Linked DNA regions of Macaca mulatta. The protein of the gene in region 4 interacts with the protein of the main gene of each other region in a biochemical or structural test. Links are inferred from orthologs where the notes say so. Each region holds a gene or a part of one and is shown on either strand. Other genes may lie near its edges.

Evidence for each region.
Region 1: the proteins of ERBB3 (region 4) and TNS3 form a complex in vitro, tested with the Homo sapiens proteins (2 studies listed by BioGRID and IntAct, with this or other methods). The link is inferred for Macaca mulatta from reciprocal best matches to the Homo sapiens genes ERBB3 and TNS3.
Region 2: the proteins of ERBB3 (region 4) and ITK form a complex in vitro, tested with the Homo sapiens proteins (2 studies listed by BioGRID and IntAct, with this or other methods). The link is inferred for Macaca mulatta from reciprocal best matches to the Homo sapiens genes ERBB3 and ITK.
Region 3: the proteins of ERBB3 (region 4) and RNF41 form a complex in vitro, tested with the Homo sapiens proteins (2 studies listed by BioGRID). The link is inferred for Macaca mulatta from reciprocal best matches to the Homo sapiens genes ERBB3 and RNF41.

What each region holds. Positions count from the first base shown.
Region 1 is NC_133408.1:81,237,532-81,243,406, forward strand, and holds part of TNS3 (tensin-3), read left to right. Parts: intron 1-2,372; coding exon 2,373-3,629; intron 3,630-5,875. UniProt on the Homo sapiens protein: May act as a protein phosphatase and/or a lipid phosphatase. Involved in the dissociation of the integrin-tensin-actin complex. EGF activates TNS4 and down-regulates TNS3 which results in capping the tail of ITGB1.
Region 2 is NC_133411.1:166,117,016-166,122,890, reverse strand, and holds part of ITK (tyrosine-protein kinase ITK/TSK), read right to left. Parts: intron 3,161-5,875; coding exon 3,003-3,160; intron 1-3,002. UniProt on the Homo sapiens protein: Tyrosine kinase that plays an essential role in regulation of the adaptive immune response. Regulates the development, function and differentiation of conventional T-cells and nonconventional NKT-cells.
Region 3 is NC_133416.1:63,356,793-63,362,667, forward strand, and holds part of RNF41 (E3 ubiquitin-protein ligase NRDP1), read right to left. Parts: intron 3,968-5,875; coding exon 3,832-3,967; intron 3,419-3,831; coding exon 3,315-3,418; intron 2,160-3,314; coding exon 1,808-2,159; 3' UTR 1-1,807. UniProt on the Homo sapiens protein: Acts as E3 ubiquitin-protein ligase and regulates the degradation of target proteins. Polyubiquitinates MYD88. Negatively regulates MYD88-dependent production of pro-inflammatory cytokines.
Region 4 is NC_133416.1:63,233,837-63,239,711, reverse strand, and holds part of ERBB3 (receptor tyrosine-protein kinase erbB-3), read right to left. Parts: intron 4,272-5,875; coding exon 4,120-4,271; intron 2,982-4,119; coding exon 2,795-2,981; intron 1,741-2,794; coding exon 1,615-1,740; intron 363-1,614; coding exon 297-362; intron 145-296; coding exon 26-144; intron 1-25. UniProt on the Homo sapiens protein: Tyrosine-protein kinase that plays an essential role as cell surface receptor for neuregulins.

The DNA.
Region 1 (5,875 bases), on a different chromosome or scaffold from region 4:
GGGCCTATAAAGACACTCACCCCTGTGCTATGCCGTTTAATTCTCAGGTCAACCTTTTCATAGAACCATCTACCCACACCCTCATTTTATAGCCAGGAAGCTGAAGGTCAAGGTGAATGCACCAGTTGGTAGAACCCTAAGGGTGGACTCAGGATAGAGCTGGGATTTGAACCAGTGTCCATCTAATGCCAGAGCTGCTTCAAGGGACCACTCTACTTCACAATCGCCTAGTGATTGCATTAACAAATGGATTGCATTTTCCACTTTTGAAATTGTAGAGGTGATATTTGCACGTGCCTTATAATTTAGGCCAGTCTTTCCAGGTGTCTCCTTTGTTTAATTTGCACAGAGCTGGGTGAAGTAGGTGTTTTAGTCTTTGCCTGTTCTGAAGCCTGGTCACTTGGTGATCCCTGGTCAGATCAATGTGAGTTCAGTACCACCTCTTTGTGGGCAGGGCCACTGACAGAGCTTCCAGGTGTGTGCCCTCCTGGTGCTCTCTGAGCAGGTGGGCAGTGGGTCAGCAGGAGCACACAGGCGTCAGGGCCAGTGCACCTGGGTTCTAGGCCCACCTCCACCTCCTAGCAGCTGCCTGACCTTGGGCAAATTATTTATTCTCTTTGATCCTCAGTTGCTTATAGATAAACAAGAAAATAGGTCATACTGTGAAAATTAGAGAAAATGCACGATGCTCCTGTCCTGTCAATAAAAGGTACTCAGAAAACAGCAGCTGTTACTGAGGCTGTTACCTTGAATGAATCCCATGGCATATGTCCTGTCATCACTTTCCCTGCCTTGAAGACTTGGTTTATTTTCAGCATTTTGTGTAGCATTTCTACTCCCAGACCCTTCCTTCCCTAGGCTTGACTTTAGGATGGGAGTCACGGCCACTGCAGATGGGCCTATACCCCTGTGTCCACTCTCCCCACTCCTTGCTTCTCTGCATGCTTTCCCTTGGGCACGGTTGAAACAAGAAGAAAGCCTTACGTGGGCGTGTTTTCAGCACCACACCCCAGTACCTCTCAGGACTCTGTCCTAACACGTTGTCCCAGTGTTTTCAAAAAAGCCAGCAGCTGCTGACCATGGTGGTGCATCAGCCTGGAGCCCGGGGCTATGAGGCACATGCTTAGGGCAGGTCCCTCCAGAGGGCTCCTGGGCCAGGCTTGGTGACTGCTGTTAGGTAGTGGCTCACGTCTCTCAAATTCCAGGTGCCCACGCAGCGTGGGCTTCCCACCACCAGCAGCTCCCTGGCTGTGGAATGCTTGCAATTTCACAGTTGAGAAAGTAGAAGGTGGGGGAGGCCCATGGGGTGCGGCATGTGCTGACTACAAACTCCAGCTTATTTTAGGAGGCTCTTGGCAAGGACCTGCTGTGTGTGGTCGCGGCAATTGGCCAGTCAGCACATTGAGGCTCGGGAGTCCCAGAATGCCAGAGTCATGGCCATGATTAATAATAGCAGCCGATGCCTCAGCCCTTCCTGCCCACACTTTAGTTCAAAATTTTATTTTCTTGACATTCCATGTATGGAAATCAGCGCGTGAAGGTCAGCCTCAAGTGTCTGTGATCCTGAGACATTCACCAGGCACCTACTTGGCCCAAAGTTGCTGTGCCAAGCAGGAAGACCCAAACCAATTCCTGTACTTTCTCTTTTCATTGAATTTCATATTGACCTTTGAGCAGACATTCAGTTTTTTTTCCTTTTTTTTTTTTTTTTTTTTTTGAGACAGAGTCTTGCTCTCTTGCCCAGGCTGGAGTGCAGTGGCACGATCACTGCTTACTACATCCTCTGCCTCGCAGGTTCAAGCAATTCTCCTGCCTCAGCCTCCTGACTAGCTGAGACTACAGGCATGCACCACCACACCTGGCTAATTTCTGTATTTTTAGTAGAGACGGGTTTCACCAAGACATTCAATTTAATAGGAATTTGCTACCCAGCACCTAGCTGATGCTCAACAAATGTTAGACAGGTCTATGAACGGAAGCTCTTCTTTGTCTAAGATGAACAGTCCATTCTTGGGGATTTATGAGCCGAGCTGGCCTCAACGTTCACAGTCATGATGAAATTAACAATGAGCCCCAAAGGCAAGATGATTCAAAAGGTGAAGAATCCCAGAGTTCAGAATGACAATTTGTTCTGCATGGAAAGGTAGAAATGATTCAAGCACCTGAAGATGTTTATTTGAATGCCTTTTCATTGGCATCCTCCAGAGTCTATATAGAACTTTGTGATCTTAGAGGGATCTTTGTCCCTGCTTATTGTAAATCATATTTTGAATCCATTTATTTGTTTAGACAAATGCACACACTCATTCTGAGGGTGTGAGACTTGCTTTCATCCCGGACTGAAAGCCTCTCTCTGGTTTTCTCCCCCGCAGTGCTACACACGCAGGGCCCTGTCGATGGCAGCCTTTACGCGAAGGTGAGGAAGAAAAGCTCCTCAGATCCTGGCATCCCAGGTGGCCCCCAGGCCGTCCCGACCACCAACAGCCCAGACCACAGTGACCACACCTTGTCTGTCAGCAGTGACTCCGGCCACTCTACAGCCTCTGCCAGGACTGATAAGACGGAAGAGCGCCTGGCTCCAGGAACCAGGAGGGGCCTGAGCGCCCAGGAGAAGGCCGAGTTGGACCAGCTGCTCAGTGGCTTTGGCCTGGAGGATCCTGGAAGCTCCCTCAAGGAAATGACTGATGCTCGAAGCAAGTACAGTGGGACTCGCCACGTGGTGCCGGCCCAGGTTCATGTGAATGGAGACGCTGCTCTGAAGGACCGGGAGACGGACATTCTGGATGACGAGATGCCCCACCACGACCTGCACAGTGTGGACAGCCTTGGGACCCTGTCCTCCTCGGAAGGGCCTCAGTCGGCCCACCTGGGTCCCTTCACCTGCCACAAGAGCAGCCAGAACTCACTCCTATCTGACGGTTTTGGCAACAACGTTGGTGAAGATCCGCAGGGCACCCTTGTTCCGGACCTGGGCCTTGGCATGGACGGCCCCTATGAGCGGGAGCGGACTTTCGGAAGTCGAGAACCCAAGCAGCCCCAGCCCCTGCTGAGAAAGCCCTCAGTGTCCTCTCAGATGCAGGCCTACGGGCAGAGCAGCTACTCCACACAGACCTGGGTGCGCCAGCAGCAGATGGTTGTAGCTCACCAGTATAGCTTCGCCCCCGATGGGGAAGCCCGGCTGGTGAGCCGCGGCCCTGCAGACAATCCCGGCCTCGTCCAGGCCCAGCCCAGAGTCCCACTCACCCCCACCCGAGGGACCAGCAGTAGGGTGGCTGTCCAGAGGGGTGTAGGCAGTGGGCCACACCCCTCTGACACACAGCAGCCCTCTCCCAGCAAAGCGTTCAAACCCAGGTTTCCAGGCGACCAGGTTATGAATGGAGCTGGCCCAGAGCTGAGCACAGGCCCCTCCCCGGGCTCACCCACCCTGGACATCGACCAGTCCATCGAACAGCTCAACAGGCTGATCCTGGAGCTGGATCCCACCTTCGAACCCATCCCTACCCACATGAATGCCCTCGGTAGCCAGGCCAATGGCTCTGTGTCTCCGGACAGCGTGGGAGGCGGGCTCCGGGCAAGCAGCAGACTGCCTGACACAGGAGAGGGCCCCAACAGGACCCCTGGGCGGCAAGGTGAGCTGGGGCTCCACGGGAGGTGCTCCACGGGAGGCTAATGTGTGATGAGAAATCAGCCTAGTAGGTTCGCTTTTGGCAAAACCCACAAGGGAGGGACGTTTCCCTTGCAGTTTGAACTCTCGTGAATTTTGGCCTAGGATCCAAATGCTGTCGTGCTGGTGTGGTCCCTTGGTGGGAGATTTGGAGGGTGGGAGAACCAGGCAGAAGACCCGCTGTTAACATCAGTGCAGGGGCAGGGAAGGGCCCCTCATGCCTTCATTGCAGAATGGGCTTAACAGTGAAACCGTTCTCCCTTCATGAATGCTGGTGGATTTACGAAGGAAGCATACTTCTGTCCTTGTGGTGTAGATCAGGGCTTTGTGGAAAAATGCCAGCTACTTCAGTGGGGCTGAAGGTTGGGGATGAAGAGGACTGCTGAGCCCTCAGACAGCTTTGTCACAAGGAAGTGATTCAGCAGTGGTGGTATAAAATGTTCTGATTACAAATACACGTGTCAGAGTTGGCCATGGTGGTGTCGGGGGACTGGTTATGGAAGGCAGTGCCTGGGTGGAGGCTCGGGGTCCACAAGGGGTTCTACCACGGAGAGCAGCTTAGTGATGGGAGGGGCTTGGGGGAGCAGGCTCATGGGTGAGGGGACTGAGAGCTGTGGTGGGACCCAGAGCCATGGGGCCAGGTGCAGGGGCCTCCTGGGGATGCCCCAAAACCAGGTGGGGGTCATGCTAACTGCAGGGAGGCCAAGACTGCACGTGTCCTTTTCCCCTGAGGCTGGTGGTTTAGAAACCAGCACAGGGCCTTTCTGCCTGGCTTTGAGGCCTGGGAAGAACCAGGGCTGGGAGTGGTGGACAAGCAGTGACCTCTGCCTAGGTTACAGCAGCACTGTCTTCAAGCTGCATTGATGTAATGGGGCAAGTTGCATGTTGGGACCAGATTACTATACAGTGTTCTTTCTGTTGGGAAGTCATGAAAGCCGAGGGGACCAGAGAGCTGGAGGTGGTCATGTCGGCCAGGAAAGACACTCAGCAGGCAGAGAAGGGCACTGAAACGGAGCAGGGTTGTCTCAGTAGGGGACTGTGTGGGTGAGATCATGTGGTCTGGAAGCTTCTGCACAGAGGTGCACGCCAGGGGAGGGCAGCCAGGCTGTAGCGGCTATGCCTGGGGGCCACTGGGAGGCTACAGGAGGTGGAGAGACAGAGCTGTGTTCTGGGAGCCCTGGCAGTGATATGCAGGGACCGGGACCCAAGGATAACCTTGGGCCAGAGAGTGTGGCATCCATATGATGCCAGGGCCTCCCACATTGGCACGTTGGGGTGTGTTGGCAAATGGGGGCCGCTGGCTCCTTAGAGGGACTTGCCTCTAGAAGTGAAGACCAGAGAGGTAAAGGACGAGGGAGAATATGGCTATGTGACACTGTGCATGTGATTCCCACCATGGGCTGGTAACACTGATGAGAGATGCTACCATTTATGCCCGCGTGGTTCTTGGTTTAGGTGTGCTGGCCCATGTCATCATCCTAAGCACCTTGGCTGCAGGCACCAGTCCCTGCCTTATAGTCGTGTTGACGGAGATGTCAGTAGGTTACATGGCCCACCCAGGTTCACATGGGACCGGCGTAGTAGAGCAAATGTCTGTGCCCTGCGGTGTGGACTCAGTGTCTCCAGCCTCTTTGGAGTCACACAGGTGAGGACTGCAGTCCCAACTCAGGTCTGGGGTGGCCTGGGGGAAGGAGCACACGCTCTGCAGATGTTGATCCTGGTGTCAGGTCTGAGTGTGCTGTGGGCTGCCTGAGTGACGCACGTGTGTAAAGGGCAGTGTCTCTGTGAATTTCTCTTCACTCCATCTGTGAGAAGGAAACCCTATCCCAGTGCCTGGCCCAGGGAAGGTGTGAAGAAAGGCTCGTCCACATCCACCTCTCACTTACTAGGGGTGTGACTGAGCAAACAGCTGTCATTCCAGCCTGCCTGAGTAACTCTGTCTTTGTATGTCCTGAGCTGGGAGTTTGAAGGAGCCTGGAGAGTCCCCCATGAGTAGATTATTGGACTTTACAATACAGCGGTATACCAACCACAACACCACAGCAGGGTAGCGGTTCCTGAACAATAGGTCCAGGTTGATGCATTAAACAAATATATTTGGGAAATTCTGAGTTTACAAAAAGGCTCCAATGAGAACAAAACTGTCTGCAGTATCACACCTGACTTACTTCATCAAACCTTCTTGAAAGAAGTTACTTGGAAACATTAAAA
Region 2 (5,875 bases), on a different chromosome or scaffold from region 4:
TATTGACAAACTTACTGTAACATTTATATGGAGAGGCAAAAGACCCAGAGAGCCAATATGATAATGAAGAAGAACAACAAAGCTAGAAGACTGACCCTACCTGACTTCAGGACTTACTTTAAAGCTACAGTAATGACAGGATGGTACTAGTGAAAGAATAAACAAACAGATTAATGGATCAGCCCAGATATAGATCCATATAAATATAGTAAACTAATACTTAACAAAGGAACAGAGGAGAAAGGGTATAGTCCTTTCAACAAACAGTGCTGTAATAATCGGACATCCATATGTGAAACAATGACTCTAGTCACAGACCTTATACCTTTCAGGAAAATTAACTCAAAGTGGATCACAGACCTAAATGTAAAAATGCAAAATTATAAAACTTCCATAATAACATAGGAGAAAATTTGGGGGACATTGGGCTTGGCAATGAGTTTTTAGATGTAAACCAAAAGCACAATTCATGAATAAACAAGTTGATGTTGAGCTTTGTTAAAATATTTTAAAAGTCTGCTCTGTGAAAGACACTGTCAAGAGAATAAGAAGACAAGCCACAGACTAGGAGAAAATATTTGCAAAGCACATGTCTGATAAAGGACTTGTATCCAAAATATACCAAGAACTCTTAAAACTCAACAGTAAGTAAACAAACAACCTGATTGAAAAATGGGCAAAAGATCTGAATAGATATTACCAAGAAGATATACAGGTGGCAAATAAGCATATGAAAATATACTTAACATCATATGTCATTAGGAAAATGCAAATTGAAACAACAATATAATATGACTACACATCTATTAGAACCACTGAAATCCAAAACAACGAATGCTAATGAGGAACTCTCATTGCTGGTGGGAATGTAAAATAATACAGCTACTTTGGAAGACATTCTGGCAGTTTCTTAACAAGTTAAACATAGTTTTACCATATGATTCAACAAGCATACTCTTAGGCATTTGCCCAATTGAGTTGAAAATTTATGTGCATACAAAAATCTCCACATAAACATTTATAGCAGCTTTATTCATAATTGTTTAAAACTGAAAGCAAGCAAGATTTCGTTTGGCAGGTAAAAGTATAAACAAACTGTGGTATATCCATACAATGGAATATTATTTAGCAATAAAGAGAAATGAGCTATCAAGCCCCAAAGACATGGAGGGACCTCAAAGGCATATTACTGAGTGAAAGACACCAGTCTGCCTGAGCACTCACACCTGTAATCCCAGCACTACAGGAGGCCTGAGGTGGGTGGATTGATTGCCTGAGCTCACCTGGGCAGTGTGGCAAACCCCATCTCCACCAAAAATACAAAAAATTAGCTCGGCACAGTGGCACATGTCTGTGGTCCCAGCTACTTGGGAGGCCGAGTGGGAGGACCGCTTGAGACGGGGAGGCAGAGGTTGCAGTGAGCTGAGATCGCACCACTGCATTCCAGCCTGGGTGACAGAATAAGACCCCATTTCGAACAAAACAAAACAAAACCCCCAAAACCCAAACAAACAAACAACACAAAAACTGAAAGCAACCAAGATTTCCTTTAGTAGGTAAGTAGATAAACAAGCTGTGATATATCCATACAATGAAATATTATTTCACAATAAAAAGAAATTAGTTATTAAGCCACAAAAAGACATGGAGGGATCTTAAATCATATTACTGAGTGAAAGAAGCCAGTCCGAAAAGCCTACATGCTGTATGATGCCAACATATGGCATGCTGAGAAAGGCAAAGCTATGGAGACAGTGAAAAGATCAGTAGTTGTCAGTGGTCTGGGGATGAGGAGAGGGATAAATGGGTGAAGGACAGGAGATTTTTTAGGGCAGTAAAACTATTCTGTCTGATACTATAGTGACAGATACATGGCATTATGAATTTGTGAAAACCTACAGAACTCTACAGCACAAAGACTGAACCTTAATGTAAACTATGAACTTTAGTTAATGTATTAATAGAAGTTCATTAATTGTGACAAAAGTATCACACTCATGCCAAATGTTAGTGAACAGTGAAACTGTTCAGGTGAGGTGGGTATATGAGAACTCTGTACTCTTTGTTAAAAAATAAAGTCTATTAATTAAAAAAAATCAATACATGATGGTTAAAAGAGGAAAAAAGTGCTAACTGAATGTCACCCATCATTATTATTATTGCAGCTAATCCTTATGAAGTGGATAAGATTTGTTTTATGCCCTTGTTTATGTCTTTATTGTTTGTTTCTTTCTGATTATAAAAGCTCTATGAGCTCATAGATCAAGCATTATTTAATTCAACAGTAAGAAAAAGGAAGTTCAGAGAATTGTCAAAGATTAATGGCAAATAAATGGTAAAGCTGAGACAAAATCCTAGTGTTCTAAATTTTTTGTATTCTACCTTGTTGTCCTACAATGATCTGAATTTTTATTAATTCTCTATTTCAGCAACTTTCCACTTTGGCTGAAATGTATGATTTTCTAACTCAGCAAAGACTAAGACTCACAGTGATGGGACTCAAGCCATGGCCTGCAGTCCAGGGATGAGGTAAATGAGCCACCTGGGTGGGTACGGAGTAATTGCCTCCCCGTTTTAAATTGCTGAATGAATAAAATGTACTCAAATTAAGCCATTTTAATATTTTCATAGCACAAGTGAACTTCGTTCCCGAAGTTATTTCTATAACTTCTAATGGTTTTATGATGTTACAGATTTTTTTTTCTCTTCTCAGAAAATCGAGGAGGAAGCTGGCATAGGCCACACCCCATCCTCCTCTCTGAAGCTATGCTTATAGCTTGTGACATTATGTAGCAAACCAAATAACCTTTAAGGTCACCGTCAGCTCCTTTTTAGGGATGGGGGATCCATCCCGTTAATAGATCCTCAAAGTCATGTCGTTGCTAATCTATATTAGTTATCCCTCCTGCCTCATCCTTCCGAGAGGGTTCCTTTCTCTAGGGAAGGAGGCAGGTCCTGAAATTGTATACGACAATGCATGGGGAAGCACTTCCTCTGCTGACCTCTTTCCAGCAGTGATTCATAATCTGGTAGACATGTGTGGAGGCCAGCCGGGGCTTGTACAACCGAAATCCGGTGCTGATATCTTCCACCACCTCTGAGTTGCTCCGGTTTTCATATGGGATTTTGCCTTCACTGAAAACTTCCCACATCAGCACACCTACGAGAAATGGTGAGCACAGCACAGTGAATGACAAAGCTCATAGACAGCAAACAAACCAACCTGCCTCTAGAAATTACAGACTCCTTGGCACTAGGATCCATGTGCTACCTCCAGAAGTACATTGAGTCTACCTGAGGTTTATTAGGCCTGTCTTATTTTTAAAGAACTGAAATTTCCCAACCTTTGTAGTGGAGAAGGATTTTTCAAGATGGACCCTTTGTTATATCAAACTCAAATGCTACAACTAACAGTTGTAGACTGAAATACCACGATGCAGGATGTAAATGAATGGCGTGCAGGAGGTGTGACACTATAGGGATTGGGGAGGATTGTGGAAAATGAAATAAACAGTTCTGTCTTAAGGAGACAGCTATGATTTGACTCCAACCAAAGTATGGCACATGAAAATGAGGGATCAGAATTGTCACATTTTCTGATTTTTTTTTTAAAAAAGAAGTCAAAAATTAAGAGTTGAACTTCTCGAATTTTAAAAATACCATGCAGACTAAGCAAAACACATCTTTTGCTTGTCTAGTTTTGACCTCTGATTTAATCCCTTTCTTTTCCTCTTCTGCCCTTAGTAGAAATGTAACACCCAGCTTTGTCTTTATCATGCGCTGATGTATTCACAGGTTGTCAGAGCAAGACGGCTGCTTGCAAATCAGCTAATCCAGAGCTTTCAGAAGCTTGTTCCAGAGAATCTTAGAGTACCCATTCCCAACGCATGATCCTCAAAACACCTGAATAAAAATCATCTCACAGCCTTGTTCAAATGGCAGATTCCTGGGCCCTAGCCCAGATCCAGTGATCAGAATCTCTAGTGTTACTCAGAGGTGCCTCGGGAGTTGGAAATTCAGAACCTGACCCTAAATAAGAATGCCTATCACTCCAAGACACCATAATTTTTAGTGAAAATTTATTTGAAAATGTGCTGCTGCTAAAACATGGCTTCAGAATGATTTCTTTAATACATAGATGCATAGATGAGATATGTATAGATAAAAAAATTGAGTGAAGTACAAAGAGGTTGACTTGTTCTGAAAAGCACACTGTTAATGAGGGCAAAAAAACTTAAAACATAGGACAAAGTCAAATGGGTTGATGCAGGCATGGAGCTTTCAGCTCATCCAGGTTTCTGTTGCTTAGGCTGGTACCCCCAGTTTTTTCACACTTTTTTTTCATTGACCTCTTTCTATTCTGCATCCATCCATCAACCTCGTTTCTGGACTCTCTTCAAATAACATATTCTAGGCAGGGACGAATTTCAGCCCAACCCTCTAATGGTAAGATGCTGCAGGAAATTCCCAGGCTGATACCCTTTGGCTGAATAAACCCCATTCAGAGTCAGAAGGTGAATGTGCTAAAGTGGCCATTGCTCCAAATGTCTCATTGTGGGGCCCTTGCTTGGTGCAGTGTGATCAGTTTCATCACCCATAGTGAGATGACTGTACATCAGCCCCAACCTTCCTAGTTATACACACTGGGGAGAGGAGAGTCATCCAAGAATGCTGTTAGTAAATTTCTTTCAGGTCCATTCTGTAACTTAAACCTGGTTAACAAAGTGGCTGCTAGGTTTGGTGAACAGGGGACTGTTTTAAGAAACAGGTAGGACTCATAATTAACAAACCACTTGGCTCCTAGAGATGGATAGTCTAAAATGCTGGAGAAGATTTTTAACACTCATTCTTCTCCTAAAAGATTTACCTAGCCAACCTCCCCCTGGTTTCTACTACTAGTAAGACCTTGTCAAACCCTTCCTTCATACCGAATGGCAAAAATCAATCTTCAAGTAGTTTCTGTACACACTATAATTCTTCTTGCAATCCAAATCAAAGAGGTTCTCTGGTATATATTTGTTGCACACTTTAGTATGCACAAACTATGACTTCAGGTGACATGACAAATCCAGCAAGAACATTTGGTACATCCTGCCATACCAACATCATTCATTCATTCATAGCCCTTTGCACTTTTTAGAAATTCTAATTCTTTATCATGGCCTGCCACCTTCATTGTCTATTGTTCTCCCAATAAGTCAGTACCCCCTGTTCTTTGGATGCACCAAGATTTTGTACTTGCTGGTCCCTCTATCAGGGACACTGTTCCCTGTCTCTTCAAATGGTGACAGCTCCCTCCTATCATTCAAGTCTCTGCTAAAGAATTACCTTCTGAGAAAGGACCTCCCACACCACCCTATTCAAAGCAGACCCTCTCTCCATTCTAGTCACTCTGCCCCATTACTGTTTTATTTTATTCCTAGCACCTACTTATGATTGCTTGACTTTATCTTCTATCCCTTAGCTTGTTTATGATTGTTATGGTTTATGATGGTTATTATGATCTTTTGTGATTTTCTGTCTCTCCTCCCGTCTCAAATTTAGTTCCAAAAGAACAGAAGTCTTTTCTGTCCTATGAACCATTGCATCCTCAGCACCTAGATTAGCCCTTGGCATAGAATAGATCCTCAGTTAATTGTTGTTGAATGAATAAATATTAATACTTATTAAGAGATAAGTATGGAAATGTAATGTTGGACAAAACATGGTCCCTGCCTTCAAGGGGCTCATATTTGAATCTCTTGATTTCTCCAGCTTTTGACTTCACAGCAGCTGGCACCAGAACGCTGTCTCCACTTTTAGTTAACTCCCAACCATGTCCAATATCTCTAAAAACAAACAAAATAATGAAGGCCCTTTCATAGTTTTCAGGGCC
Region 3 (5,875 bases), about 120 kb from region 4:
AAGGACAGGACAGTATAAGCCTTGGTAAGGCAGGTAGGGGAAAGGGGATTGGAAGAAATGTAGTAACCAGAATAAGTATAGCAGCGTTTTCAAATTCCTGAGCACAATGTCCCGGAGCTGGAACCCTACTCCCCTCAAGCTGTATCCCTCCACCCCAATCCCAGTGGAGCCATGATCCAACTACCCAGACCTGCAGCAAGCTAGCCTGGAATAAAACTCTGAGAGGAAGCTATCACATGGTGGGGAGGAGACTTTCTATCTCCAACCACACTCCCACCTCCATATTAAAATTATCACACCTACTATCCCTCCCCTTCTCTTACTTACTCTGCCAGTCACTCTAGGGATCAAGGTATGCCCCAGGTAACCTGAAATGGAACTGAAGTCCCCGGGGGGTGTGGGTGAGACACAGCACAGCCTGTACTTAGAGATAAAATTTCTGATTTGCATGGTGAAGCTTAGAACCCAGCTATACAGCTCCAAGAAAACTTGGGGAAGCGGGGGGTTGCCTTCAAAATGAATACTCTAAATCCAGAGTTTTATGATGAGGCCCTGGAAGGGCTAGGAGGAAATTTTTCCAGAGGGCACAGGCATCGATGCTGGACTGTCATATCCTTCACAGGAATAGAGGAAGCTCCTCATTTCAGTTGGGGTTACAGAGGTTTGGGGCAGATATTGTAAGTTCAGCCGAGGACTCCCTTGGCTCTTCCTATATTAAAGCCAAAGGTTGTGCTGAAAAGGAAAAAATATAAAACACACCCCCATCCCTGTCCCACCCTATCCAAAATCCCCACAATAGGAACATCAAAAGTTTCAAGTTTGATTTTTTTTCTTTTTTCCTTTCTTTAAAAAAAAAAAAAAAAAAGGTAAATAAATTAAATTGCCAACAATGTGGCTGAGATAGCCATGATCAGGCCATTCTTAAAAAAAAAGGGGGACGGGGAGGGGAAGTAGGTGGAGTTTGTGAAATATAAACAATGGCCAAAGAAAATTATCAAAGTAACTAACTACAGTCACAGGGCTAGAGAGGGCTCTATGGAACAATTATGGCCTGTGCCACAAGAGGCAGTGCTGACCATATTTTAGCAAAAGCTAGGAGTAGCTTCTTGCTGAACACATCAACCCCAACAGACTAACCCCTACCCTAAACCCTGGCATTCCCTAATTATGAAAACTTATAGGAAAGAAGAGCTCATCTGGAAATTTTCAGTATCCCAACCTGCATACTGGTAGACCCAGTGGGTGCCTGCACCTTTAAGGTGGACTGAACAGGGATACTGCTTGGCACAGAGGTCCAGTCTTCCCCTAAGGGCCATCCGTGATGGCCAATTACTGGCCTCACTACTTATTTCTAGAGATTTGGCTCCACCCTTACCATTTCTTCAGGATGTCTGCTGCTTAGAGTCAACAGGCCTGCCTGCTCTGATTCCCTGGTTTTGGAGGAGAGGGACGACTAGAGATTCCTTACTCTGTCCTGACACTCCAGGGAAATTGAATCTCTTTGTGCTTTCTGAAAATAACTGGAACCAGGAACCCTAAGCAGGAAAATGGATGGAGGTGGGGGCTTTCCCACTCAGACTGACAATTTATAGACATTTTAGGGGAATATGGCAAAGGGAGGAAATCTGGGTTTCCCACCTGAAAGGCTGAGCAAACTACCCCAGGGCCCTTCAGTGCCAGAAGGGCAGTGAGATGTGTGGCTCAGGTATAAGCCACAGTATTAAGGATGGTGGAGAGGACTCAGGTCCCAGCTGCTGGAGTGATGGGATTTTCTGATTTCCATCTCTTCCTGATAGCCGGTCGAGTTCTATATCTCTTCCACGCCATGAGCAAATATCATGACAAGGCCTGGCTCCTGCACCATGTCATCACCCATATGTTGGTTCTCACAGGCCATCACGACAACAGCCTGCTTGCCAGGGATGCGCTTGGCCACGTAGTTCTCATAGTAGCGTCGGTTCATCTGTCTAGTCTCTAGTGTGGCCAGACCCTGGGGCCAGCTACGCTCATGGGCATTTTCAATCAGCTCGTTGACAATAGAAGCAGGACAGCCACTCTCCACCAGGGAGCGCTTGATTACAGCCTGGAGCACGGCATCAGGAGTCGAGATCATCCCTCCCCAGCGGGTCACTCTTGCTGGCTGAAGGGAGTTCACCCACCTGTGTGGAGGTGGTTAAAGATGGTCATTCCAGATCATCTCCTTTCTCTGTATTGGCTTTTTCTGCTAATAGAAATAACTACCCACTCTGCACTCAGCTCACCTATTCTTCCTTCTTTCCTTCCATGATTGGCTCAGAAACCCCGAATTTTCCCCAGTTGGTCCCAACTGAGTCACCAAACGTTACGCACCAGATTAAATTCCACTCTGTCCCTGTTACTTTTCTTTGAAATTCCAATACTTAGCACATACAGCACCTAACACAGTTAGTGCTCTATGTTTAGTGAATAAAACAATTATTCCTCTATACTATGTCCCACTCAGCACTATTTGCCCTATATATATTGATTCACACTTACAGTTTAGTCTATGAACTGTATAGGACTCCAGAACTGAAAAAGATCTTAGACTTCGCTTGTATACTTCACTTGTTTTTGCTGCATTTTAGAGATCACTTTCCTGGACTTGCACTCTGCCTCCTCTTCTCTGGGTTGTAAGCTACCTGAAGACAGGGATAATATCTTCTATTTCTTTTTTTTTTTTTTTGAGATGGAGTCTCACTCTGTTGCCCAGGCTGGAGTGCAGTGGCGCGATCTCGGCTCACTGCAAGCTCCGCCTCCCGGGTTCACGCCATTCTCCTGCCTCAGCCTCCGGAGTAGCTGGGACTGCAGGCGCCCATCACCACGCCCAGCTAATTTTTTTGTTTTTTTTTTTCAGTAGAGACGGGGTTTCACCGTGTTAGCCAGGATGGTCTCGATCTCCTGACCTCGTGATCTGCCCGCCTCAGCCTCCCAAAGTGCTGGGATTACAGGTGTGAGCCACCACGCCCGGCCTATCTTCTATTTCTTTTTGGCCCTCCTAGCACTCCACAGCCTTTAATACAGGGCTTTGTACATGGGTACTCACTTAATTCTGGATAAAGTGCATCCTTGGGTAGGCTTTCCCTTCCATCCACCCAAACGCGTAAGACATCCTGTAGTGGAGCTAAGGGTTATCCTCTTCTCCTCGGCCCCTGTCCTTAATGCTAATATCTGAGAAGCAGTGACCCCCCAGCCCAGCTCTCCAATGCCCTCCTTCTGCTACTCTCCTGCTCTTAGCGCCTTTCAGGCCTTACTGTCAGGACGTGGAATCACTCCATGTCCTGAGTGACACTCACTCTAGGATCTCGTTGTATTCAATTGTCTCCTCCAGGTTCTGAAGGTTGGGGTTGACACTGCGGATTGCACGCATGTATGCCTTTAGCAGCTGGATGTCTCGCTTCTGTTGTGGAGAAGAAGAACAGGAATAATGGTTAAGGCAGACAGCAGAAAAAAGACAAAAGTTTATCCGAGAATGAGGACAACTGAGAGATCTGAAGAACAACCAGTTTGTAAGCTTCAGGAAGACAGGGATAGGACTGTCTCACTCACAGCTGTCTCCTTAGTACTTACAAAATGTGCCTTCACAGAGGAGGCATCTGGTAACTGTTAGGTGAATGAATGCTATGAATGGGATGAAGGAAAGTCAAGGAGAGCTCCAATCTGATTCCCTGCTAAGCCACAGGCAGAATAGCCACTCATCCAAACTCACAAGTGTAAGCACAGGTCTATGTGTTCACAACTGGTTTTATTACCCACAGGCAGGCAGTTATCTGCATATGAGGGATATGTTCTCCCCCGTGTCTTGGGGCCTACCTGCTCCGCCAGCTGGTGTTTGTGTTCAGCTGACGTCTTCTCCAGCTCTGCGATGCGTGTCTGCTGCTGCTGTACCACTGAGCGCAGGTGCTTAATGCAGTTATGGTTGGGCAGCTCATCTTTGGGCATCTCCAGGCTGCAGACCAGGGTGGGGAAAGAGCAGAACAGGGGTGATCACCAGGACATGTATGCAAATGGCCTATTCTGTGGCAGATAACTGCTGAGTAGATTTTGTCCTACCCAAAATTTCTAACATTCATTTCAGGCCTCCCTCATTCATTCCCTTCACTTTCTTCTTCCAAGCTTCCTACTTGCCCCTTTGCTATTTTCCTTAAATTTCTTTCCCCAATCAAGACACAGTGTTTTATCTACTTTTTATATTTATCTTATTTTATTTTTTATCTTTTTTTTTTTTTTGACATGGAGTTTCGCTCTTGTTGCGCAAACTGGAGTGCAATGGCACGATCTCAGCTCAGCGCAACCTCTGCCTCCCAGGTTCAAGCGATTTCTCCTGCCTCTGGGATTACAGGCGTGCGCCACCATGCCCAGCTAACTTTTTGTATTTTTAGTAGAAACGGGTTTCCCCATGTTAGCCAGGCTGGTCTCAAACTCTTGGCCTCATGTGATCTGCACCGCCTTGGCCTCCCAAAGTGCTGGGATTACAGGTGTGAGCCACTGTGCCTGGCCTCTTATTTTACTTTTTTTTTTTTGAGACCAGGTTTCACTCTTGTTGCCCAGGTTGGAGTGTAATGGCACAGTCTTGGCTCACTGCAACCTCTGCCTCATGGGGTTCAAGCAATTCTTGTGCCTCAGCCTCCTGAGCAGCTGGGATTACAGGTGCCCGCCACGACGCCTGGCTAATTTTTGTATTTTTAGTAGAGACAGGGTTTCACCATGTTGGCTACACTGGTCTTGAACTCCTGACCTCAGGTGATCCGCCCGCCTCAGCCTCCCAAGTGCTGGGATTATAGGCGTGAGCCACCGCACTGGGACTATTTATTTATTTTGACACACTGTTTTTATCTACTGCACAGCTCTCCTTTTCCTCCTACAGATTCTGCCTGTGCACTTATTGCTTCAGAGAAGCCCTATATTCACAGCCCCAGCTATCAACATTCTTTTTATTTCTTAGTTAGTTAGGGGGAACAGAGTCCAGCCCAGGCTGGAGTGCAATGGTGTGATCTCAGCTCACTGCAACCTCTACCTCCTGGTTTTAAGCGATTCTCATGCCTCAGCCTCCCAAGTAGCTGGGATTACAGGCATGCACCACCACACCTGGCTAATTTTTTTTTTTTTTTTTGAGACAGAGTCTTGCTCTGTTGCTTAGGCTACAGTGCAGTGGCGTGATCTCGGCTCACTGCAAGCTCCTCCTCCCTGGTTCACGCCATTCTCCTGCCTCAGTCTCCCAAGTAGCTTTCCCCTACAGGCGCCTGCCACCACACCTGGCTAATTTTTTGTATTTTTGTAGAGATGGGGTTTCACCGTGTTAGCCAGGATGGTCTCAATCTCCTGACCTCATGATCTGCCTGCCTTGGCCTCCCAAAGTGCTGGGATTACAGGCGTGAGCCACCACACCCGGCCCCACACCTGGCTAATTTTTGTATTTTTATTTTTATTTATTTATTTATTTATTTTTTGAGACAGAGTCTCGCTCTGTCGCCCAGGCTGGAGTGCAGTGGCGCGATCTCGGCTCACTGCAAGCTCCGCCTCCCAGGTTCATGCCATTCTCCTGCCTCAGCCTCCTGAGTAGCTGGGACTACAGGCGCCCGCCACCGCGCCCGGCTAATTTTTTGTATTTTTAGTAGAGACGGGGTTTCACCGTGGTCTCGATCTCCTGACCTTGTGATCCGCCCGCCTCGGCCTCCCAAAGTGCTGGGATTACAGGCGTGAGCCACCGCGCCCGGCAATTTTTATATTTTTAATAGAGACTAGGTTTTGCCATGTTGGCCAGGTTAGTCTTGAACTCCTGGCCTGAAGTGACCTGCCCACTTTGGCCTCCCAAAGTGCTAGGATTACAGGTGTGAGCTAACACACCCCTCAGCTA
Region 4 (5,875 bases):
CCCAGGCAATGGAAAGAATACATACAAAGCAGTCTGTGTCCTGAGGGCCTGAGCAGCCCCCGGCACACTCATCATGGCAGCACTGGTTGGGGTTGGGCCCAAAGCAGTGACCATTACACTGAGGAGCACAGATGGTCTTGGTCACTATGGAAGGAGAGAAAGCATGGCTGTTAGGGCTCCTAGGACTGAATCCTGAGGCCACTGCTCATGCCTCCCCCGCAGTATTGACCCAGGCTTGGGGAGGAAGGGATATGAAAGTGTATGAGTAAAGTTTTTGGAGGAAAGTTCAAACCCACATGTTTGGCAGTCTTCTGGTCCAGGACCCCAGCATCGCCCCTTGCAAACCTCATGACAGAGGGGACCTGGTTGGGAAGGAAGGCAACACAAGGGGCCATCAGGGCTAAGAAAGGCTTGTTTGAATCAACAGGGTATGATGTCACTACACAGGCACCTCAATCCCGGGAAGCAAAAAGCCAAGGCTGTGTCCCTCCCTGCCCTTGGAGAGCAGGGCTGGGCTCAAGTGAACCTGTCAACAAGGGGTGGGGCCACGCCTCCACACTACCCAGTGGGCAGCTGAAGGGGAGGGACTGGGGCAAATGCCAATCTTAGTCCCAGTCCCAACCCAGGAACTTGGTTCCTCCTGGGCAAACTGAATATATGCAGGAATATATGCATGTGAATGGTCAGGGGAAGGTGGGCTCTGAGGAGAAGGGAGTATATTCTAGTGGAACGAGTAACAGATGTGGAGCCTAAAGATCTGGCTTCCCTGCTTAGTACCCAGGGAATTTTTTTTGTTTTTTTTTGAGACAGGGTCTCAGTCTGTTGCCCAGGCTAGAGTACAAAGGCACAATCACAGCTCACTGCAACTGCAGCCTCCTGGGCTCAAGCAATCCTCTGCTTCAGCCTCCTGAGTAGCTGGGATTACAGTTGTGAACCACTACGCCTGTCTGATTTTTAAATGTTTTGTAGATTTTTTGCTATGTTACCCAGGCTGGTCTTGGACTCCTGGGCTCAAGTGATCCTCCCACCTTGGCCTCCCAAAGTGCTGGGATTATAGGCATGAGCCACCATGCTCGGTCTGCTCCTTTTCTTCTTTTTTTTTGAGACAGAGTCTCGCTCTGTGGCCCAGGCTGGAGTACAGTGGCATGATCTCAGCTCACTGCAAGCTCCGCCTCCCGGGTTCACACCATTCTCCTGCCTCAGCCTCCTGAGTAGCCGGGACTACAGGTGCCCACTACCACGCCCAGCTAGTGTTTTTTTTTTTTTTTTTTTTTTTTTTTTGTATTTTTAGTAGAGACGGGGTTTCACCGTGTTAGTCAGGATGGTCTTGAGCTCCTGACCTCGTGATCCGCCCGCCTCGGCCTCCCAAAGTGCTGGGACTACAGGCGTGAGCCACCGCACCCGGCCTATCCGCTCCTTTTCTTGAAACACCTCCTCTGTAGTTTAGATTCCAGGGGACTGGCATGGTCCGTCCTGGTGGGCTGCTGAGTCAGGGACCTGAGGTGTTTGTTCAGTGGGGAGGCGGGTTCAGATCAGGAATGTAAGGATGATAGAAAGAAGGGAGTCACTCCGGTTTGGTGGGGCTGGGGAGCAGTCTTGATCACAGTCACTTACAGCTTCTGCCATTGTCCTTCACCACTATCTCAGCGTCTTGGTCCCTCACGATGTCCTTCCAGTCAATTGTGTCCATGTGACAAAGCTTATCATTCTTCTCAATATAAACACCCCCTGACAGAATCTCTGAGGTAGGGAAAGAAGTGACAGGGTTAAGGGCCACAGCAGTACGCCTCTTCCTTACCTCTCCACCCATCCAAAATGACACCTGAGACTCAGGAGTGGGAGGACGAGGCAGACAGATAGGTCCAATTAAATCCAAGCTGCAGAGAAGACTCCCTTTATAAGACGAGGAGTCAGGCCAAAAGAAACTCCCGCCTCCTCAGTCACCTGTCCAGATCCGGTTTAGCTAGTGGGGGAGGGGAAGGGAGAGAGGGAGAGAAGATTTCTGACTCAACATCCCCTCCCACAAGCCCTGCCCATATGTTTTCCAACTGACTGGGACAGGGAGAAGTAGAAGATGGACAGGTGGTTTTTAACTCCTATATTCCTCAGCTCATAGGGGTTTGGTTTAGGAGAGCAAAGGTAGAATTCCTAGGGAAGGAGGGACATCCAGGTATACTGTGCTTTGGCTTTTTTTTTTTTTTTTTGAGACGCAGTCTCACTGTCACTTATGCTGGAGTGCAGTGGTGCGATCTCGGCTCACTGCAACCTCCGCCTCCCAGGTTCAAGCGAGTCTCCTGCCTCAGCCTCCTGAGCAGCTGAAATTACAGGTGCACACCACTATCCCCAGCTAATTTTGTTTTGTTTTGTTTTGTTTTGTTTTGTTTTGTTTGTATTTTTAGTAGAGACAGGGTTTCGCCATGTTGGCCAGGCTGGTCTCAAACTCCTGATCTCAAGTGATCTGCCCTCCTTGGCCTCCCAAAATGCTGGGATTACAGGTGTGAGCCATCACGCCTGGCCTCCAGTACACTGTACTTTGAAGTTAGAGAAATGGTAACAGATCCGGCTCTGACTCCAGCCCCACCAGGACACATGGTTCCTTTCCCTGGAGTAGATGCCCCTAGCTCCCCCTACTGGGGGCCCTCTATTGCTTAGGGAGCAATGGACCATTAGACAGTTACCAAGGTGACAGGCACCTTGGAAGAGGCACTTAGAGTGGACAGCCTTGGGTCATCATCAAGCAGGTACCAGTCTGAGGGCTGAGGGGTGAGGCCGGAAGGAACCATCGGGAACTGACCGGTGAGCTGAGTCAAGCGGAGCTGGCGCAGAGCGTGGCTGGAGTTGGTGTTATAGTTCAACATGACGAAGATGGCAAACTTCCCATCGTAGACCTGGGTCCCTCGCACCACTCGGAGGTTGGGCAATGGTAGAGTAGAGAACTCATTCATGGCCACGAGGACATAGCCTGTCACTTCTCGAATCCACTGTGACAGAGCAGATTATGTCAATGAGAGAGACAACAGGGCAAAAAAATCTCAATCCCCTCTCCTCCTTCAGGCATTAAAGACTCTTAACTCTTAATTCTTCCTTCTTTCTTTCTTTCTTTTTTTTAAAATTCGAGACAGAGTTTAGCTCTTGTTGCCCAGGCTGGAGTGCAATGGCGCGATCCTGGCTCACCACAACCTCCGCCACCCGGCTTCAAGCAATTATCCTGCCGCAGCCTCCCAAGTAGCTGGAATTACAGGCATGCACCACCACATCTGGCTAATTTTGTATTTTTGGTAGAGATGGGGTTTCTCCATGTTGGTCAGGCTGGTCTCAAACTTCTGACCTCAGGTGATTCGCCTGCCTCGGCCTCCCAAAGTCCTGGGATTACAGGCATGAGCAACCGCACTTGACCTTTTTTTTTGGTGAGACGGTCTCGCTCTGTCACCCAGGCTGGAGTCCAGTGGCACAATCTCGGCTCACTGCAGTGTAAAACTCCTGGGCTCAAGCGATCCTCCCACCTCAGCCCTCAAGTAGCTGACTACAGGTGCGTGCCACCAGGTCCAGCTAATTTTTGTATTTTTGTAGAGACAGGGTTTCCCCATGTTGCCCAGGCTGGTCTTGAACTCCTGACCTCAAGTGATCTGCCTTCCTTGGCCTCTCAAAGTGCTGGGATTACAGGCATGAGCCACTGCACCTCTCCTTAACTCTTGCTAATTCCTATTTTGGAGTAGGGAGTAGACTGTGTCACACTACTATGTCACTTCTGGGAGTGAAGACAGGCAGCTTTCTCCTCAAAGCTCCTCATGCCAGGCGGGCCCTTTCCTCATCTCCCCAGGTACCCTCTCGGTCCTCAGGTGTCTCTCTGCGCTAGTCCCTGCTGACCTCGCACTACCACAGAACACCACCTGCCCCGCCCCTGCCTCTGCCCCTGCCCCCTATATATCCCTGGCTACAACAGCGAGACCATAGGTCCCAGATTACAGCCACTGTCCCCAGAAATACGCGGGTTTGGATCTTAGGAACTCCTGCGTCTTAGGAAGGGTGAACTCCAGCAGAAGGTAGCCCTGAAGAGGGAAGGAGGGTTCTAGGGGAGAATAAAGAGGAGCAGGTTGAGGAAGGAGGGTGCACATTAACCTGCAGGAAGGAGAGGTCAGCATTGTGTCCCGTGAGCACAATCTCGAGGTTCCCCATCACCACCTCACACCTCTCGTAGAGCTTGTACAGTGTCTGGTATTGGTTCTCAGCATCGCCGGTCACACTCAGGCCATTCAGAGTCCCAGGACACACTGTTCAAAGCAGAGGGAAGAGTGGCTGAGGGCTGGACACAAATTCTCAGCCCATCTGCCATCCCCCAAGATCACCCCCTTGGTTGCCCTCTTCCAGTTACATTAGACAGGATCAGAGGGCATTTGCCTCCAACCCTCCCACAAGCGACAGGCAGAAGCTGTAGTGGCCTGAGAGCTTTCTCTCTTCTCAGAATCCCTTTACCATTCTATGAATGGGAAGGTGAAGATTTCCTTTTTCTACCTGAGACCCCTCTGTGCCTCTTTTGGGTACCACTCTGGGTACTAAGGGGTTAATAGAGAAGGATGACAGTGAATTTGTTTCCCTCCCTAGAAAAGAGAAGTTAGGAAAGGGCCGAAACTTTGATTACCCTCCTCTCCCCCTCCAAGCAGGGCACTCACTTCTCTACCCTCATCCTGCCTCTCTCTAGGTCCTGGAATAAATATCTCTTTGGGGCTAGTACACAGCCCCTATTGTGTCAACTGAGGGTGGGATGGGGGCAGAGGGTGGGGGCAGTGCCTGGGGCCACAGTCCAGCCCACAATGAGGCGATTCTATCCAGGAGGGGGGCTGCCCCACCCTATCCCTAGACACCCCATCCTCAGCAGCACTCCCCTCCACCCTCAAGCCTTGGGCTCAGACAAGTGACCTCAGTAGAGGAGGGAGCTCTGGCAGTGGTGGGGTGGGGGGGGGGGTCAATGGGAGCTTTGTCTTTAAAGCTGGAAGATAAGAAGCTGGTTGCCTCCCCCCGTTCCTAAACTCAGGCTTTCCTTCTCACTCTGTCTCCCTATCCCAACACACTCTAGCAACCTCAGCATCACTTTCCAGCCCTAGAGTATTTTTTAGCAAATACAGGGACACCTGGAGAGAAATAGTAGGAGATGCCCCACACTGAGCCTCCACCCAATTTCATTGTTAGAAGAGGTTCATGAAAAAGCCTTTCACCATGGCAATCCTCACCCGCACTAGGGGAAAGCCTAGACTAGAGGCACATGGCATGTCAGCCTTGGGAGTTCACTCTTTGCAAATGTGGTGGACAATGGGCTATGGAAAATCCTGGACTCTGAAGCCCTACCCCAGTCTCTTTCTTCTGGTTCAGCGAAAGACCACGTGTGGGGTGGGGAATAGGGGGTAGATACCACCTGTTCCAGCCACCCTTCCCTGAGGCAGTGGTAGTCAGTGGGAGGCAACAGTGGGAATGGAGGGAGGGAGACTGGTGAGGCCCCAATCCCTCTTATATACCCCTAGTCTGAATTCTTGACCTTGGAGGGCTCCTTATCACTCCCCATGAAGGTTGGCTAGTCCCAGCAAAGAGAGCTAGTTCCAGAGGAGCTGGTAACTCCAGGGTCCTTGGGTTGAAATGAAAGAGACTAGGAAGGTTAGTCATTTCTGGAACAGCCCCACCCCAGTCCCCTTCCTGGCAGGACACCCCCTTTCCCAAGTTATAGTGCCAATCCTTCTCCCCAGATAAGGGAGGAGCCAAGTTTTCTGCACAGGGAAGTAGTAGTGTGGGCACACACACACACACAACATACACATGAACACATACACATTGGTCCTGCTGGCCCAGGAACCTGTGGTCGGGTTTCCTTGCAGGAAGTATTTCA